Saccharomyces cerevisiae S288C: one gene and its partner. Changing the gene in region 1 together with any one later gene gives a genetic interaction. Each region holds a gene or a part of one and is shown in the gene's direction. Other genes may lie near its edges. The genes, in order: HXT17 and YDC1.

What was found.
Region 2: mutations in HXT17 (region 1) and YDC1 together harm fitness more than expected from each alone (negative genetic interaction), as found in Saccharomyces cerevisiae (one large-scale study listed by BioGRID).

The regions. Positions count from the first base shown.
Region 1 is NC_001146.8:765,705-774,851, forward strand, and holds HXT17 (hexose transporter HXT17), read left to right. Parts: upstream 1-6,952; coding exon 6,953-8,647; downstream 8,648-9,147. Other genes in the region: ATP-binding cassette multidrug transporter PDR18, read left to right, coding at 1-3,672; YNR071C (aldose 1-epimerase superfamily protein), read right to left, coding at 4,736-5,764; MAN2 (putative mannitol dehydrogenase), read right to left, coding at 9,088-9,147. UniProt on the Saccharomyces cerevisiae protein: Probable glucose transporter.
Region 2 is NC_001148.4:376,327-384,908, forward strand, and holds YDC1 (alkaline dihydroceramidase), read left to right. Parts: upstream 1-7,128; coding exon 7,129-8,082; downstream 8,083-8,582. Other genes in the region: glutathione-disulfide reductase GLR1, read left to right, coding at 1-627; 40S ribosomal protein eS6 RPS6A, read right to left, coding at 965-1,669, 2,064-2,069; RLM1 (Rlm1p), read right to left, coding at 2,794-4,824; YPL088W (aldo-keto reductase superfamily protein), read left to right, coding at 5,639-6,667; Elongator subunit ELP3, read right to left, coding at 8,447-8,582.

The DNA.
Region 1 (9,147 bases):
ATCTATAATGGTGAGCAAGATGTTCATTTCCCACATTTGACAGTAAAACAAACTCTAGATTTTGCTATTTCCTGTAAGATGCCCGCAAAAAGAGTCAATAATGTAACGAAAGAAGAGTATATTACTGCCAATAGAGAATTCTATGCTAAAATTTTTGGTTTGACGCATACTTTCGATACCAAAGTTGGTAACGATTTCATCAGCGGTGTATCTGGAGGTGAGCGTAAACGCGTTTCCATTGCTGAAGCATTAGCAGCGAAAGGTTCAATTTACTGCTGGGATAATGCTACAAGAGGTCTTGACTCTTCTACCGCGCTAGAATTTGCACGAGCTATTCGTACTATGACAAATCTGTTAGGTACAACGGCCCTTGTTACGGTTTACCAAGCCAGTGAAAACATTTATGAAACTTTTGATAAAGTCACTGTTCTATACGCTGGAAGACAAATATTTTGCGGCAAAACTACTGAAGCAAAAGATTATTTTGAAAACATGGGTTACTTGTGTCCACCGAGACAATCGACTGCTGAATATTTGACCGCAATTACTGATCCTAATGGTCTGCACGAAATAAAGCCTGGCTTTGAGTATCAAGTACCTCATACCGCTGATGAATTCGAAAAATACTGGCTTGATTCCCCAGAATATGCCCGCCTAAAAGGTGAAATTCAGAAGTACAAACATGAAGTGAATACTGAATGGACCAAAAAAACATACAATGAGTCTATGGCACAAGAAAAGTCGAAAGGTACAAGAAAAAAATCTTATTATACGGTCTCTTATTGGGAGCAAATTAGACTTTGCACTATTAGAGGTTTTCTAAGGATTTACGGTGATAAGTCATACACCGTTATCAACACATGCGCTGCTATAGCACAGGCTTTTATCACTGGGTCATTGTTCTACCAAGCACCTTCTTCAACTCTAGGGGCCTTTTCTAGAAGTGGCGTTCTGTTTTTTTCCCTCTTATATTATTCTTTGATGGGTTTAGCTAATATTAGTTTCGAGCACAGGCCAATATTGCAAAAACACAAGGTCTATTCACTATATCATCCCTCAGCTGAAGCGTTAGCAAGTACGATTTCTTCTTTTCCATTCAGAATGATTGGTCTAACATTTTTCATAATCATCCTGTACTTCTTAGCCGGTTTGCATAGAAGCGCCGGTGCTTTTTTTACTATGTATTTGTTATTGACAATGTGTTCAGAAGCTATTACAAGTTTGTTTCAGATGGTTTCATCTTTATGCGATACATTGTCCCAGGCCAACTCCATTGCCGGTGTTGTGATGTTATCTATTGCCATGTATTCGACGTACATGATACAATTACCTTCAATGCATCCATGGTTTAAGTGGATTTCGTACATTCTACCCATTAGATATGCATTTGAATCGATGTTAAATGCAGAATTTCATGGAAGACATATGGATTGTGGTGGCACTTTGGTTCCTTCTGGACCTGGGTTTGAAAACATCTTGCCAGAAAATCAAGTGTGTGCTTTTGTTGGTTCAAGGCCTGGCCAATCTTGGGTCCTAGGTGATGATTATTTGAGGGCCCAATATCAATATGAGTACAAAAATACTTGGAGAAACTTCGGCATCATGTGGTGTTTCTTAATTGGCTACATCGTCTTGAGGGCGGTTTTCACTGAGTACAAAAGTCCTGTCAAAAGTGGTGGTGATGCTCTGGTCGTCAAGAAGGGCACAAAGAATGCTATACAAAGATCATGGAGCAGCAAAAATGACGAAGAGAACCTTAATGCCTCTATAGCAACACAGGATATGAAAGAGATAGCTTCAAGTAACGACGATAGCACAAGTGCAGACTTTGAAGGTTTGGAATCTACCGGGGTGTTTATTTGGAAAAATGTTTCTTTCACAATTCCTCATTCTAGCGGACAACGTAAACTTCTGGACAGCGTAAGCGGTTACTGTGTTCCTGGTACTTTGACAGCATTAATAGGTGAGTCCGGCGCTGGTAAGACCACATTATTAAACACTTTGGCTCAAAGGAACGTGGGAACGATTACTGGTGATATGTTAGTTGATGGTCTCCCAATGGACGCTAGTTTCAAAAGGCGTACCGGTTATGTTCAACAGCAAGATCTTCATGTTGCTGAACTTACTGTCAAAGAATCGCTACAATTTAGTGCTCGTATGCGTCGGCCACAGTCTATTCCTGACGCTGAAAAGATGGAATATGTTGAAAAAATTATATCTATTCTTGAAATGCAGGAGTTCTCAGAAGCTCTTGTCGGCGAAATTGGTTACGGCTTGAATGTTGAACAGAGAAAGAAACTATCAATTGGCGTTGAGCTAGTTGGCAAGCCGGATCTGTTATTGTTTTTGGACGAACCGACCTCTGGCTTGGATTCCCAATCCGCGTGGGCCGTCGTCAAAATGTTAAAAAGATTAGCTCTAGCAGGTCAATCAATTTTATGTACTATTCATCAACCATCAGCTACTCTTTTTGAACAGTTTGACAGATTATTGCTTTTGGGAAAAGGCGGTCAAACAATTTATTTTGGTGAAATAGGTAAAAATTCAAGTTCTGTCATTAAGTATTTCGAAAAGAACGGAGCCAGGAAATGTCAACAAAATGAAAATCCGGCAGAGTATATTTTAGAAGCCATAGGAGCTGGGGCCACCGCTTCTGTTCAACAGAACTGGCCTGATATATGGCAAAAATCTCACGAGTATGCAAACATTAACGAAAAAATAAATGACATGATTAAGGACTTATCTTCTACAACTTTGCATAAAACAGCTACAAGGGCCTCTAAGTATGCAACATCGTATTCCTACCAATTCCATCATGTGCTGAAAAGATCCAGTTTAACATTTTGGAGAAACTTGAACTACATCATGGCCAAAATGATGTTATTGATGATCAGTGGCTTGTTCATTGGTTTTACCTTTTTCCATGTGGGTGTAAATGCTATTGGATTACAAAATAGCTTATTTGCCTGTTTCATGGCTATCGTTATATCAGCTCCTGCAACAAACCAAATACAGGAGCGTGCTACCGTTGCTAAGGAGCTATATGAAGTTCGTGAGTCCAAATCTAATATGTTTCATTGGTCTTTACTTTTGATTACCCATTATTTAAATGAATTGCCTTACCATTTATTGTTTTCAACAATTTTTTTCGTTTCATCATATTTCCCTCTGGGTGTCTTTACCGAAGCCTCTAGGTCAAGTGTTTTTTATCTGAACTATGCCATACTTTTTCAACTTTACTATATTGGTCTTGCTTTAATGATTCTGTACATGTCTCCAAATCTACAATCTGCCAATGTTATTGTAGGTTTTATACTTTCGTTTTTGCTCTCTTTCTGCGGTGCTGTCCAACCTGCCTCTTTAATGCCTGGTTTCTGGACATTCATGTGGAAACTATCCCCTTACACGTATTTTTTGCAAAATTTAGTTGGATTATTGATGCATGACAAACCCGTAAGATGTTCAAAGAAAGAGTTGTCTCTTTTCAACCCCCCGGTAGGCCAAACATGTGGTGAATTTACCAAACCGTTTTTTGAATTTGGGACTGGGTATATTGCAAATCCAGATGCAACAGCAGATTGCGCCTATTGTCAGTACAAAGTAGGTGATGAATACTTGGCGCGCATAAATGCTAGCTTTAGTTACTTATGGAGAAACTTCGGTTTCATTTAGGCTTATATCCTTTTCAACATTGCCGGTATGATTGTGGTTTATTACGTTGTTCAAGTTAAGCATTTTTCCCCTATGAAAATTGGCTTCGTAAAAAGAATAACAAGTAAATTTAAGAGAAAATGAAGAAAAAAATTGCAGGTATACTATGGGTGCAGGTGAGGCGGTTTTTTAACCGATTTAGCACACGATACTGTGAATTTTGGGTTATATGATGATGTGAATATTGCAGAAATGTAATGTTATATTATTCAAAGAAATAGGGTAACTTCTATTTATGCAAACATTGGTAATCAAGGCTATAAACACATAATCCCAAATAAGTATTTTGGTACACAGTTGATGTTTCTTTATGAATACGACTCATTAGTTCACTGTCAAATTGCCAACGTTCAGAGGGACCTACTTACAGAGCGTATGTTTTATATTTACGACGAACGCGATCTAATTATTATCCGCTGGTTAAACAGCGTAATAATGTTCATAGGGGCCTTGCATGACATTTGAATTTGAACATTACTAGAGTTCGTGAAATTTTGTCAATGAAAAAATAATGTGACAAACGTCTGCAAATAACCTGAAGAATTTTATCCGGGATAACGACAAAGCGTTAAATATAGAAACATAGTGAATGTACTGCTAGGAAAAAAATAGGCATAATTTAATCTTTATTCATATAAATGTTTTTACCAGAACTCTCTTGGTAGATAGTTTTGATATACGGTTTCCTGCTCAATTTTAGTGAGGCTGGGACGTAAAGTATTTTTTTCAAATAAACCATTTCTTGTTTCTACCTTTTTAGTACGGATTTTTTTTAGTAAGTTCTGTATTCTTTTTTAAGAGTAAAAAATATTCAGACCCCAAACTCACAAAAAGCCTACAGAGTCCGCCTGTTACGCTCAATTTAGTACTACCACTTGTGATAATATTTATTTTGGGACAGGTCCAAAAACTTTTAGGTTTAAACGTACAAACGTTGAGTTTAATCTAGATCATATATCATTATAAAGGTTTTATCTACAAGCAAGTGAAGAAACGTAACAAACGTAAAAAGCTTCAGCCTCACCTAAATATCGAATTTGTACTGAGTCTTTGAAGTGTATACCTCGCCGCGCTTCAGAAGAACACAACCTCTCCACTCATCACGGTTGATAGCATCAACGTATCTACCTTGCTGAACGGCAAATCCAGACCTTGGCACAAATTTGCCACATAAATTATCACCGGTGTACAAATGAACGGTTGGTTCTGTCGTCGAAACCTCAAATTTGATGTGAGATTCGGGATGATAGGCCTTAAAAACAGGAACCAATTTGTTGACACTCACAGAATCTGTAGTCTTCAAATCCTTGTTAGCGTCAATAATGAAAGTGCAATCAAAGACCGGAGTATCTTCATGCAAAACGGTGGGCTTAGTTGAATCAAAAGTAGCAATGTTCCTTTCAATGATCTTACCAGTTGGAAGCAATGCCCCCTCTGTAACTTCAAGCGATTTGTTCGAGCAGACCTTAACTTCTGTACCACGAATGGACTTCTCACTCTTGACTTTGTTCAAGTTAAAATACGAGTGGTTGGTCATATTAATTGGAGTAGCATCACCACGAACTAACTGTGCTTGGTATTCCATGTCTAAAGTCATTTCTGCAACATTCAAAGTGTACTTCACTGTGACTTCCAAGTCACCTGGAAACTCGTTAGGGTTGGGCTGTGTGTGATCATCCAACAATTTAAATTCAACAACGTAAACGCCCTTGGAAGGATTCTCAACAGGGGACGCCTTGTACTGCTTAAGATTTAAGGAACTGATACTGCTGTGATTTGTGTTACCACAATTGTTAACAGTTAACTTGTGAGGACCATCATCCAGGCTGAAAACACCCTTGGCGATACGGTTGGCATAACGACCAACTGTAGCGCCCATCATGTTACCATCTGTTAAATAGTCTTGTACGTTTGAATAACCTTGAACGACTGATTGGCCGTTTACCTTCAGGTCTACCAAAGTTGCACCAAGTGGCGCAATGGTAGCTTGGAACTTTTTCTCATCACCAATTGTAATGACACCATACTTATTATCACCGTTACTATTTGACATTTCGCTGTTTGTTATCTGTTTTGATTTTTTTTTTCACTGCTTATCATACAAACTGATCAATTGAGCTATCAAACTTCAACTTATCTCTGTATTTATATGCTGAAAGTATAGAGTGTACATAAAAATGTATCACATGTCTATTACATATTACGACACCCCCACAATATTTTAACTGATCTTAATAACACGGGGTAGGAAGTTTATTTCATCATACCACTCAATGAGCTAAGCTGCCAAAGGCTCCTGTTCACTTCCTTGTGGTTCGTAGGCTATTCAGTGGCAACGTAATAAACAAGAAAAGAAAAAATTTCAACACCTTTATTCTAAATGTTGTCAGAAGTAATTATAGTGGGGGTATTGCAGATGTAAATGAAATACGACGTACTGTGGGGGGCTTTTCTTTTTCAAGAATCCTAAACTATTCCAATGGGATTGCGTGATTATGTTTCGTTAGAGTTTTTTTCTATATCTCCGTTCTTATTTCTTAAGTCCGCCCCTTGCTGTAACCAGCCCGGCTATTATTTGACGAATTTTTCACATCTTCATTCCTTGCCGAGAAAGAAGCTTTTGCCTCCCTGGGGTTATTATAAAATATATCTGACGTCACTGGTTTGCAGCCAAAAAGTTTAATTATTTTAACTTCAAGGGTTCGTTTCGGAGTAAATAGTCAATGCACAAAATAGGAAGGTGGAGGTGGGGTATGCATTTTTGTGCATAGAGTGGCGGGGTATTAAGAATAATGCACATATAGGCACATAGGCACAAATGCGTGGGATGACTTGACTGTGCAAAGACCGTTAGCAACCTAGAATGTGGAATAGTATCCCAAATGATGACGTAAACGTTCGAGGATAATATTAGATAATATAATATTAGTATCCTCGTCTAAAAACAGGCAAAATAGCACGGAATCTATTCAAAAGAAGGCGGCAAGCAGTATCAATTGAGATAAGTGTATACGAACGGTGAAACCTCCTTGGCACAGAATTTTATCGTTCAAGTGGTAGGATAGCATTGCTGCCATAACACCCTCCTTAATCACAGGATAATATGGTGAACGAGATATATAAAGCGATAAGTTTAGGTGTGATATTTTTCTTTCGTTGTGCAAGTGTTGTGTAAATTCTTTCTCATTTGATAAATCAAAAAAAAAAAAAAAAAAAAGAAAAGAAAAGAAAAATTAATAAAATGCAATCATCCACTGAAAGTGATAGAGATATTCAGGATGGTCCTGATGCTGATATTCACGTCGCACCACCCGTGGAAAAAGAGTGGTCAGATGGATTTGATGACAACGAAGTCATAAACGGGGATAACGTTGAGCCACCAAAAAGAGGGCTCATAGGTTATCTTGTCATTTACTTATTGTGTTATCCAATATCCTTCGGGGGTTTCCTGCCTGGTTGGGATAGTGGTATCACAGCAGGTTTCATTAACATGGACAACTTTAAAATGAACTTCGGTTCTTACAAGCATAGCACTGGTGAATATTATTTGAGCAACGTGCGTATGGGTCTTCTTGTGGCTATGTTCAGTATTGGATGTGCCATAGGTGGTCTTATTTTTGCCCGTCTTGCTGATACTTTAGGTAGAAGGCTGGCAATTGTAATCGTGGTGTTGGTATATATGGTTGGTGCAATTATTCAGATCAGTTCGAATCACAAATGGTACCAATACTTCGTTGGTAAGATTATCTATGGTCTTGGTGCTGGTGGCTGTTCGGTGTTGTGTCCAATGCTTTTGTCTGAAATAGCTCCTACAGATTTGAGAGGTGGACTTGTCTCATTGTACCAACTTAACATGACCTTCGGTATTTTCTTGGGTTATTGTAGCGTTTATGGTACGAGAAAATACGATAACACTGCACAATGGAGAGTCCCACTTGGGCTTTGCTTTTTATGGACTTTGATTATCATCATTGGTATGTTATTGGTTCCAGAGTCCCCAAGATATCTTATTGAATGTGAGAGACACGAAGAGGCCCGTGCTTCCATTGCCAAAATCAACAAGGTTTCACCAGAGGATCCATGGGTACTCAAACAGGCTGATGAAATCAACGCCGGTGTCCTTGCCCAAAGAGAACTAGGAGAAGCTTCATGGAAAGAACTTTTCTCCGTCAAAACTAAAGTCCTTCAACGTTTGATCACAGGTATTCTTGTGCAAACCTTTTTGCAACTTACTGGTGAAAACTACTTTTTCTTCTACGGAACTACCATTTTCAAATCAGTCGGTCTTACTGATGGGTTTGAGACGTCGATCGTTCTAGGTACAGTGAACTTCTTTTCCACTATTATTGCTGTTATGGTCGTAGACAAAATTGGCCGTCGTAAATGTCTTTTATTTGGTGCAGCTGGGATGATGGCTTGTATGGTCATATTTGCAAGTATCGGGGTGAAATGTCTTTACCCTCATGGCCAGGATGGTCCATCCTCAAAAGGTGCAGGTAATGCCATGATTGTGTTCACTTGCTTCTATATATTTTGCTTTGCAACGACATGGGCTCCTGTTGCTTATATTGTGGTTGCCGAGTCGTTCCCTTCGAAGGTCAAATCTAGGGCCATGTCGATTTCGACTGCATGCAACTGGTTGTGGCAATTTTTGATCGGGTTTTTCACACCATTCATTACTGGGTCTATCCACTTCTATTATGGTTATGTGTTCGTAGGTTGTTTGGTTGCAATGTTTCTGTACGTTTTCTTCTTTTTACCAGAAACGATTGGTCTATCTTTGGAGGAAATCCAATTACTATATGAAGAAGGTATAAAACCATGGAAATCTGCATCTTGGGTCCCACCTTCTAGGAGAGGTATTCCTTCCGAAGAAAGTAAGACCGAGAAGAAGGATTGGAAGAAATTTTTGAAGTTCTCAAAGGGTTCTGATTGATCATAGAGTGCATATGCTTGTCTTGATAGGCAACATTGTATATTATATTTTACATAATAATGTGTAATTCTAATTTGTCACGAATTTATGAAGATTCTTGGAGCTATGAAGATCAACATATGTAGAAACTGGTATGTGTCATAGGTAAAAAGTATTCATTAAGACAAAATTGTGTCTAATTCTTAGTCATTTATTCAATTTTTTTTTTTTTTTTTTACGTAAAGCGGGGTGGAGTGACATGATATGGTGATGGTGATGAGAAACTCTAAATGGATCCATTTGACTATCGATTGAAAATCATGAAAGATGCGCTTGAAGGAACATAACACGTTACTATTTGTCTAAATAAAACAATATACAAAAATACGACATTATATATACTCTACCCAAGATATTTAGTCATTACTATCGAGGGCGCGTAGATCAGATCACCTTTAAAATCACACTTGGTCTAAAATTTCCTTAATAGCGGCAATTGGCCCTTTATCATAAACTGTTTC
Region 2 (8,582 bases), on another chromosome or scaffold:
CATATGAATGACTCAAAGTCCATCGATGACGTTGACGAATTAATTTGGACAATTGGACGTAAATCCCATCTAGGTATGGGTTCAGAAAATGTAGGTATAAAGCTGAACTCTCATGACCAAATAATTGCTGATGAATATCAGAACACCAATGTTCCAAACATTTATTCTCTAGGTGACGTTGTTGGAAAAGTTGAATTGACACCTGTCGCTATTGCAGCGGGCAGAAAGCTGTCTAATAGACTGTTTGGTCCAGAGAAATTCCGTAATGACAAACTAGATTACGAGAACGTCCCCAGCGTAATTTTCTCACATCCTGAAGCCGGTTCCATTGGTATTTCTGAGAAGGAAGCCATTGAAAAGTACGGTAAGGAGAATATAAAGGTCTACAATTCCAAATTTACCGCCATGTACTATGCTATGTTGAGTGAGAAATCACCCACAAGATATAAAATTGTTTGTGCGGGACCAAATGAAAAGGTTGTCGGTCTGCACATTGTTGGTGATTCCTCTGCAGAAATCTTGCAAGGGTTCGGTGTTGCTATAAAGATGGGTGCCACTAAGGCTGATTTCGATAATTGTGTTGCTATTCATCCGACTAGCGCAGAAGAATTGGTTACTATGAGATGAAGCAACGAAACTAGACGTCCAATCTGCTGTTGCTATACTGGACTTTTGTACTCTTGTAAACAATCTTATATAGCATCCTGAAATACGTAGTAATTTTGTCATTTCTGTTCAAGGACAAGGGTTCCTTTTTTTTTCAGACTATTAGCTACTGTGGACTCGCTTGGATATTCAGTTGAGGATACATTCCGACTCTCGTTTACAATACATATGATTATTTTTCTTTTTGTTAATTATATAAAAAATAAAGTTATTTGATTTTAAGCTTAAAAATACACAAAATACAGAATAAGAAAGGAGTTTTTGAACAAAAGAATTTATCTTTTACTGCTTTCTAACTTTAAGCCTTCAAAGAAGAAGCTCTTCTCTTTCTGATTTCAGCCTTCTCAGCCTTTCTTTCAGACAATCTCTTAGCCAACAATTGAGCGTATTCGGCAGCAGCTTCTCTTTGAGCTTGAGCGTTTCTGACCTTCAAAGCTCTTTGGTGTCTCTTTCTTTGCAATCTTTGAGGAGTAACCAATCTTTGGATCTTTGGAGCCTTGGTGTAAGTCTTTTCACCCTTGGTGACTTCTCTTCTGATGACGAAATCACGAACGTCATCTTCCTTGGACAAACCGAAGAACTTTCTGATGTTGTTAGCTCTCTTTGGACCCAATCTCTTTGGAACAGTAGTGTCAGTTAGACCTTCCAATTCTTGCTCACCCTTCTTGACAATGACCAAAGCCAAGACAGCCAAATCTGGACCAACAATGGCACCTCTGACGGACTTTCTCTTTCTTTCACCATCACGTCTTGGTCTGTAACAAGAAACGTTCTTGGTCAACAACAACTTGATTCTAGTTGGCAACAAAACACCTTGCTTCATTGGGAAACCTTGTTTGTCGTTACCACCAGAGATCTTGAAGACGTAACCCTTGAATTCGTCACCAACGGCTTCACCATCGACTTCTTGACCGATTCTCTTGTCGAAGAAAACACGAATACGGTGTTCATCATCAATTTCGAAGGTCTTTTGAGACCCGTTAACTGGGTAAGAAATGTTCAACTATTTTAAATTTTCAACAGGTTATTAAGAAAATTTGTTAGTATACTATTGCAAAATTAATGTTTGAATAGGGTGAAGTTTATTACTCTAGAGAAATTATTAAGTGGAAGATGAAAAAGCTTGTCTTTTATTGACTATACTCCAAGTATATGAACTGCTTCAATTTCACGGTTTGTAGTAACAGTATATGTAAACCCGCTCTGTTTGTTTAAAAATAACGCCACAAACGCATCAATTAGTATATGGTAGTCTTCCTGCTTCTTTCCATAAAAAATTTCTAAAATCTTTACGACGTCTGGTTCTGTTTAGTTCTTTCTCACTTTCAAACTTTCATGCCATTTTTCCACATATAAAGTTCTCTGTTGCCCCTCAATAATAGTATCATAAATCATACCTTCATGATGTATAGTCTGTCTTCACTCTTTTGTCACTTCTCTTAAGCAAATATAAAAATTCAATGACGAATAAGCATTAACCACTTTATCCTTGGTAACACTGTATATGAAATTTCAAAGAAACTGCAGCATCATGATGTTCCTAGACGTCGGTACTGGAATTCCCACCCAGTAGACTTACCTAGGTAGCGGCATTCCTCCAACGCTTACCAGGAGAGATAACTTTCCCGCTAGAATCGATAGAGGAGCGTGGAATTACGCCAATCTTCCAAGTGGGAACGGGCAGAGTGTCCAGTGGCTTCCTGCCTACAGAATGCACGGCCCCAGTGGGATTGGTGCAATCGCGCACGTTCCAACTTTCCGATGCTCCGGCGCGTCGATGACAATTTTACACATGAAAAACGAACTATGTAAAAATAGTTGAAATGTATGGGTTCAATGAGAACTCGAATGTACGGATGTTTTCTCTGAATGAACCTCTTGTCTTCTTCCGGCTTCTGCTTACATCAAACTCCAGGCCAGGCGGCAATTCATTTTAGTTGCTAATGCACAAAAGAGTACTTAAATACTATCATTATTCAGAAAATGCAATTGAGTTTTTCGTTTTTCTTCCTTGTTTGGGTTATTCACTACGTAAATATGTGCATTTACAATAATATAAATATAAATTTTTTAAATGAAAAGAAGTTTCTTATGCTTGGAATATTCATACTGGTCAAATTTTTTGGTTTATATTTTGCTTGAATTTTTTTCTCCTGAAATATCAGTCGAAAAATTAAAGAATTTAGTGCCTAGTGGTGTTTGAGCAGTATTTATGTATGGAGTCAGCCCGGTATTTCCATTATATGCGGTGGCAGCAGCATCATATGTACTTGAGTTGGACTGATTGTTCGAGTCACCATCGGTAGTATGTTCTGAAATAGCAGCTCCATTTACGGGTGCATCTTCATTATTACTATAGTAACTGTTATTGCTATTGTTACTGTTATTGTCGTTGCCGTTGTTGCTGTTGTTGTTGCTGCTGTTGTTGTTGTTATTGTTGTTGTTGTTGTTAGTGTTGTTAGTGCTGCTGATATTGCTGGAGTTGCCGTTGTTTACGGCCGTCTGTACGGGAGGGAAAGTACCAGGATTGTTTGTGTTTCCCGGCTTGGCACTGTTGGGTCCCATTGACCAGTCTGGAAACATCGATATAGAAGAAACATTTGGAGAATTACTCATCAAATCATGTACGAACTTCGATGGCAGTGAACCAGTTGGAGGGCCATTGCTGGTTTCAGGGCCGGAAAAAGTTGAAGGGGGGCGTCCGGTTAATGTTGTAGTTAATGGTACTGTTTGGCTCTGTTTTTTGAAAGACATTTGTTGGTATTGCTGGGTTTGTCTTTGAGCTAAAAAAGATGTATTTTGTTGGAAAGGTCCGCCAGGAATATTCGATGGTTGCAAGGGAGTGGCAATGTATGGCTGTGTTGCAGAAAAAAGAGGTGAAGACCCACTTCCGAAAGGATAAGGGTGATTGTTATTGTTACTGCCATTACCATTGTTAGAACCGTTAGGCGCATTTGCATTTGGCAATTTTATTACCATTCTGCCATTATTACCTTTTTGGAGAGTTAAGGGGCCTGAGGCAGATGCGGATAGTGGAGAAATTTTGCTAGACCTACTTGTTTTGTTTTCTTTCATTATCTGCGAAGAGCCCATACTATTGCCGTTGGCCGATGTGGAGGAGGCAGAGGAGGGTTCACTTGGAATAGCGGAATTACTGCTGAAATTGTTGTTCGGAATTCTCACACGAAGTACCGGTCTGGCGGACAATTTCCTTCTTGCTTTGACAGTCTGCTGAATAGAGTCTTCCAAAGAATTAGATGGTGACTGAGTGTAGTTGCTGTTGTCATTATTATTGCTGCCACTATTGTTAATTTTGTGCTCCTGTTTAGGGGTCCTTGAGGATGCATTTGTAAATGGCTTACTGAACTTGTTCGGTGAAATGGAAATGGGTGGAGGACGACCATTAAAGGAAGAGTTTTGAAAGCTTGGTAATTTTGGAAAATCCATCGTGGAAGGAGAAGATGAACTGGATGAAGGCTGGTTAAGATTGTACATGCTACTATGGTATGGTCTCGATATATTTTGCTGCTGTTGCTGTTGCGGAGTTCTACTTATTTGCAAAGGATCCGGTTTCAATCTTTTCAAATGTTGTAAAGGCGGCAGCGCGTTCTCAGGATGACGTTTATTTTGCTCACTACCATCCATCTTTGAAATGAGTGCGGTCGGGGATAACAACTTCATGTGTGCACTCGGTATATTTTTATCAGAGGCTTTTTTATTCGAATGCATATTTGAATTCCTCTCAAAATTGCCATGATCATCGTCGTCCTCATCATTGTTCTCATCATCATCATTTTCTGACTGGTTCATTCCTTTAACATTTGATTTCGAAGGCTTATTTGACATAGACGACCTGAGTAGGTCTTGATTTATGTTAACGGATGCACTTTTGTGAAAGTCTCCATAATCGGAAGGATCTTTCACTTCGTGAAGCAAGTTTTTGTCATTTTGGTAGTGATAGATTAAATCATTCGTATCCACAGAGGAAAACTCATAGAACGTGTTATTGGACCCCAGTATAATGACGGCTATGTCTACTTGACAAAGAACGGATAGTTCATGGGCCTTCTTAAAAAGGCCAGCTTTACGTTTTATAAACGTGACAGCCCTATTTCTGTCATCAGAAATTCTCTGGATTTCAATCTTCCGTCTACCCATGTTGTATCTATAGTATAGTTTTGCGACACTTTAATATTTAAGTTTTTTTCACGCTTCAGCCTGTTTGCTCCGGGGGATATTAACCTCACAACGTGATAGAAACCTTGAAAAAAAAAAAGAATAATTCTGCTTGCCAGCTTTCAATTACTTTAACGAGTCAAAAGTTGAGTTGGCTATCAGGAGTAGGCAGTTCTAATTGAATCAGTCGTTGAACACTTTAGAACAGGCTCGCTTCTTTCTTACGTTTCTTTTTGTCTGTCCTTTAATTATTATTGTTCAGAGGAAGATCGAGCTGTTTCTATTATTAGCTTTCATCTCTTCCGTTTTATTTTTATCAGAAATCTGAAGTAAATTTTTTTCTTTCTTTCTGCGGCTTGGCATTCATCACCCGGTGATGCTGCGCCGTTAAGAGAGCCCAATAATGATAAGACGATTTCTGCATTTAATATACGACTGAGACAGACTTCGTCACCGTGGAAGTATTTTTTGCGAACGTGGAAGTATTTCACCCACGTATGGCAGGCAAGAACGCATTTTCAATAACGTTATTTCCACGGAAAAATGTGATTAGTGTAGTAGGTTAGGAACGGGAGATAACTCGGCCGCTTGGTTTGAATTTGTTTCCCTTCGATTTTGTTTTCATTGCTTGAGTAAAAGAAGCTAAGCTAACATCTGCCTTATTCTTCTCAGCCTTTTCGTATATATATATATATATATATATATATTAGGACCCAGAGAACAAGGTATCATATATTAATTGTCTTGCCAACTATGTAATTTGGCTGTTACGGAAGACCCACATCAGGCGGCAGAAATGGTTTTAGTTAAGCAGGTAAGACTCGGTAACTCAGGTCTTAAGATATCACCGATAGTGATAGGATGTATGTCATACGGGTCCAAGAAATGGGCGGACTGGGTCATAGAGGACAAGACCCAAATTTTCAAGATTATGAAGCATTGTTACGATAAAGGTCTTCGTACTTTTGACACAGCAGATTTTTATTCTAATGGTTTGAGTGAAAGAATAATTAAGGAGTTTCTGGAGTACTACAGTATAAAGAGAGAAACGGTGGTGATTATGACCAAAATTTACTTCCCAGTTGATGAAACGCTTGATTTGCATCATAACTTCACTTTAAATGAATTTGAAGAATTGGACTTGTCCAACCAGCGGGGTTTATCCAGAAAGCATATAATTGCTGGTGTCGAGAACTCTGTGAAAAGACTGGGCACATATATAGACCTTTTACAAATTCACAGATTAGATCATGAAACGCCAATGAAAGAGATCATGAAGGCATTGAATGATGTTGTTGAAGCGGGCCACGTTAGATACATTGGGGCTTCGAGTATGTTGGCAACTGAATTTGCAGAACTGCAGTTCACAGCCGATAAATATGGCTGGTTTCAGTTCATTTCTTCGCAGTCTTACTACAATTTGCTCTATCGTGAAGATGAACGCGAATTGATTCCTTTTGCCAAAAGACACAATATTGGTTTACTTCCATGGTCTCCTAACGCACGAGGCATGTTGACTCGTCCTCTGAACCAAAGCACGGACAGGATTAAGAGTGATCCAACTTTCAAGTCGTTACATTTGGATAATCTCGAAGAAGAACAAAAGGAAATTATAAATCGTGTGGAAAAGGTGTCGAAGGACAAAAAAGTCTCGATGGCTATGCTCTCCATTGCATGGGTTTTGCATAAAGGATGTCACCCTATTGTGGGATTGAACACTACAGCAAGAGTAGACGAAGCGATTGCCGCACTACAAGTAACTCTAACAGAAGAAGAGATAAAGTACCTCGAGGAGCCCTACAAACCCCAGAGGCAAAGATGTTAAGTTAGATTTTCATGGGCCCACTGATATATAGAAGGCTAAATAACGAGAATCATATATACTGTAACATGACACCTGCTGATTTTTACTGATCGTAGCCATTCGGCTCATATTACTTCATGTCCCTTTTTTAAATCCCTCGTTCCCGGAGAGTGGCATAGCATGTCCGATAGCGTACGCCAACCTACAGAATCAGGGGATCAGATTTCCTGAAAGCAACTTATCCATCAGTTTCTTTTTATAATGCCATAATGACAGGTGTGCCTTTCTTATTTTACTTCGCTTGCTTTCTTTCTATTGCATGCTTCAATCTTTGAATATTTGCTAATAGTGAAAAAAAAAAAGGAAATAACTATCTGGTTTATCTGCATTGTTCTTCGTTTTTCAATTCAAGAATTTAAGCAAAAGGATATATCATAGAACCTAGTGAATTTTTAAGAAAGTAAGATAAAGAAAAAAATCAAATGCTGTTCAGCTGGCCTTATCCAGAAGCCCCGATTGAAGGTTATTGGGGCAAGCCAACTTCTCTGATTGATTGGTGCGAGGAGAATTATGTCGTATCCCCCTATATTGCAGAATGGTCAAATACTATTACCAATAGTATATTCTTAATGACCGCCTTCTATTCTACATATAGCGCTTGGCGTAATAAGTTAGAAACAAGGTATATATTGATAGGAATGGGGTTCTCGCTGGTTGGTATTGGTTCGTGGTTATTTCATATGACTTTACAGTATCGTTATCAATTGCTAGACGAACTACCAATGCTGTATGCGACCATCATCCCATCGTGGAGTATTTTTGCAGAAACTCAAGAAATCTTGATTAAGGATGAGAAGAAAAGGAAGGAAAGCTCATTTAGAATCCAAATGGTCATTTCTTTTATCATGTGTGGTATAGTCACCATTTTAACCTGGATTTACGTTGTCGTCCAAAAGCCAGCAATTTTCCAAGTCCTTTATGGTATATTGACGCTTCTAGTTGTGGTTCTTTCTGGCTGGCTGACCTACTATCACGTTCATGATTCATTTGCAAAGAAAAATCTTTTTATTACTATGGTTATGGGCATGATTCCTTTTGTCATTGGGTTCATTTGCTGGCAACTAGATATTCACCTGTGTTCTTTTTGGATCTATATCCGGAGAACATATTTGGCCCTGCCATTAGGTGTTCTATTGGAACTGCATGCTTGGTGGCATCTTTTGACCGGTACTGGTGTCTATATCTTCGTCGTGTATTTGCAATATTTGAGAATATTAACCCATGGAAATCCAAATGACTTCTTATTTATATGGAGGTGGGGATTTTTCCCTGAGCTGGTAAGAAAGGGCTTACCGATTGGTACTTCTTATTCACTGGAGTATCTGGGGCCAATTGTAAATACACAGGTAGATGATGAAACAAAAAAGAATAACTAAGGAGTGATTTTGTGCCATCCATTTGAATCTTCAAAATATATGTACGTATATGTTATGTATGTATATAAATTGTTGTACGTGCAATTGACCGAACGTGTATATTTGTATATAGATATGTGACAAACTAAAGAGCTTACACTTCGTTCCTTCCCTTCTGTTCACCTTTTTTTATTATGCCTGACTATTCTAAAATTTATGTTTATGTGGCGTAAAATATCTTTCTTCTGAAAACACATGCAGCAGTTACTCCCATCATAAAAGGAATTAATAAATGAATAGTATAAACAATTATTTACTTAAATATATTTAAATTTCTGCTTGGAAAACCGGCCATGTCGGCGGCACATAAAAGTTCTATTTACCTTTAAATTCTTTTCGACATGTATGGACCGTCTAGTTCATATCCTAGTTTACCATAGTAATTTCTTACACCAACACCAGAAATAACAGAAATTTTCTCTGAACCATGCTCTTCCTTGGCGATTCTTTCCGCTTCTTCC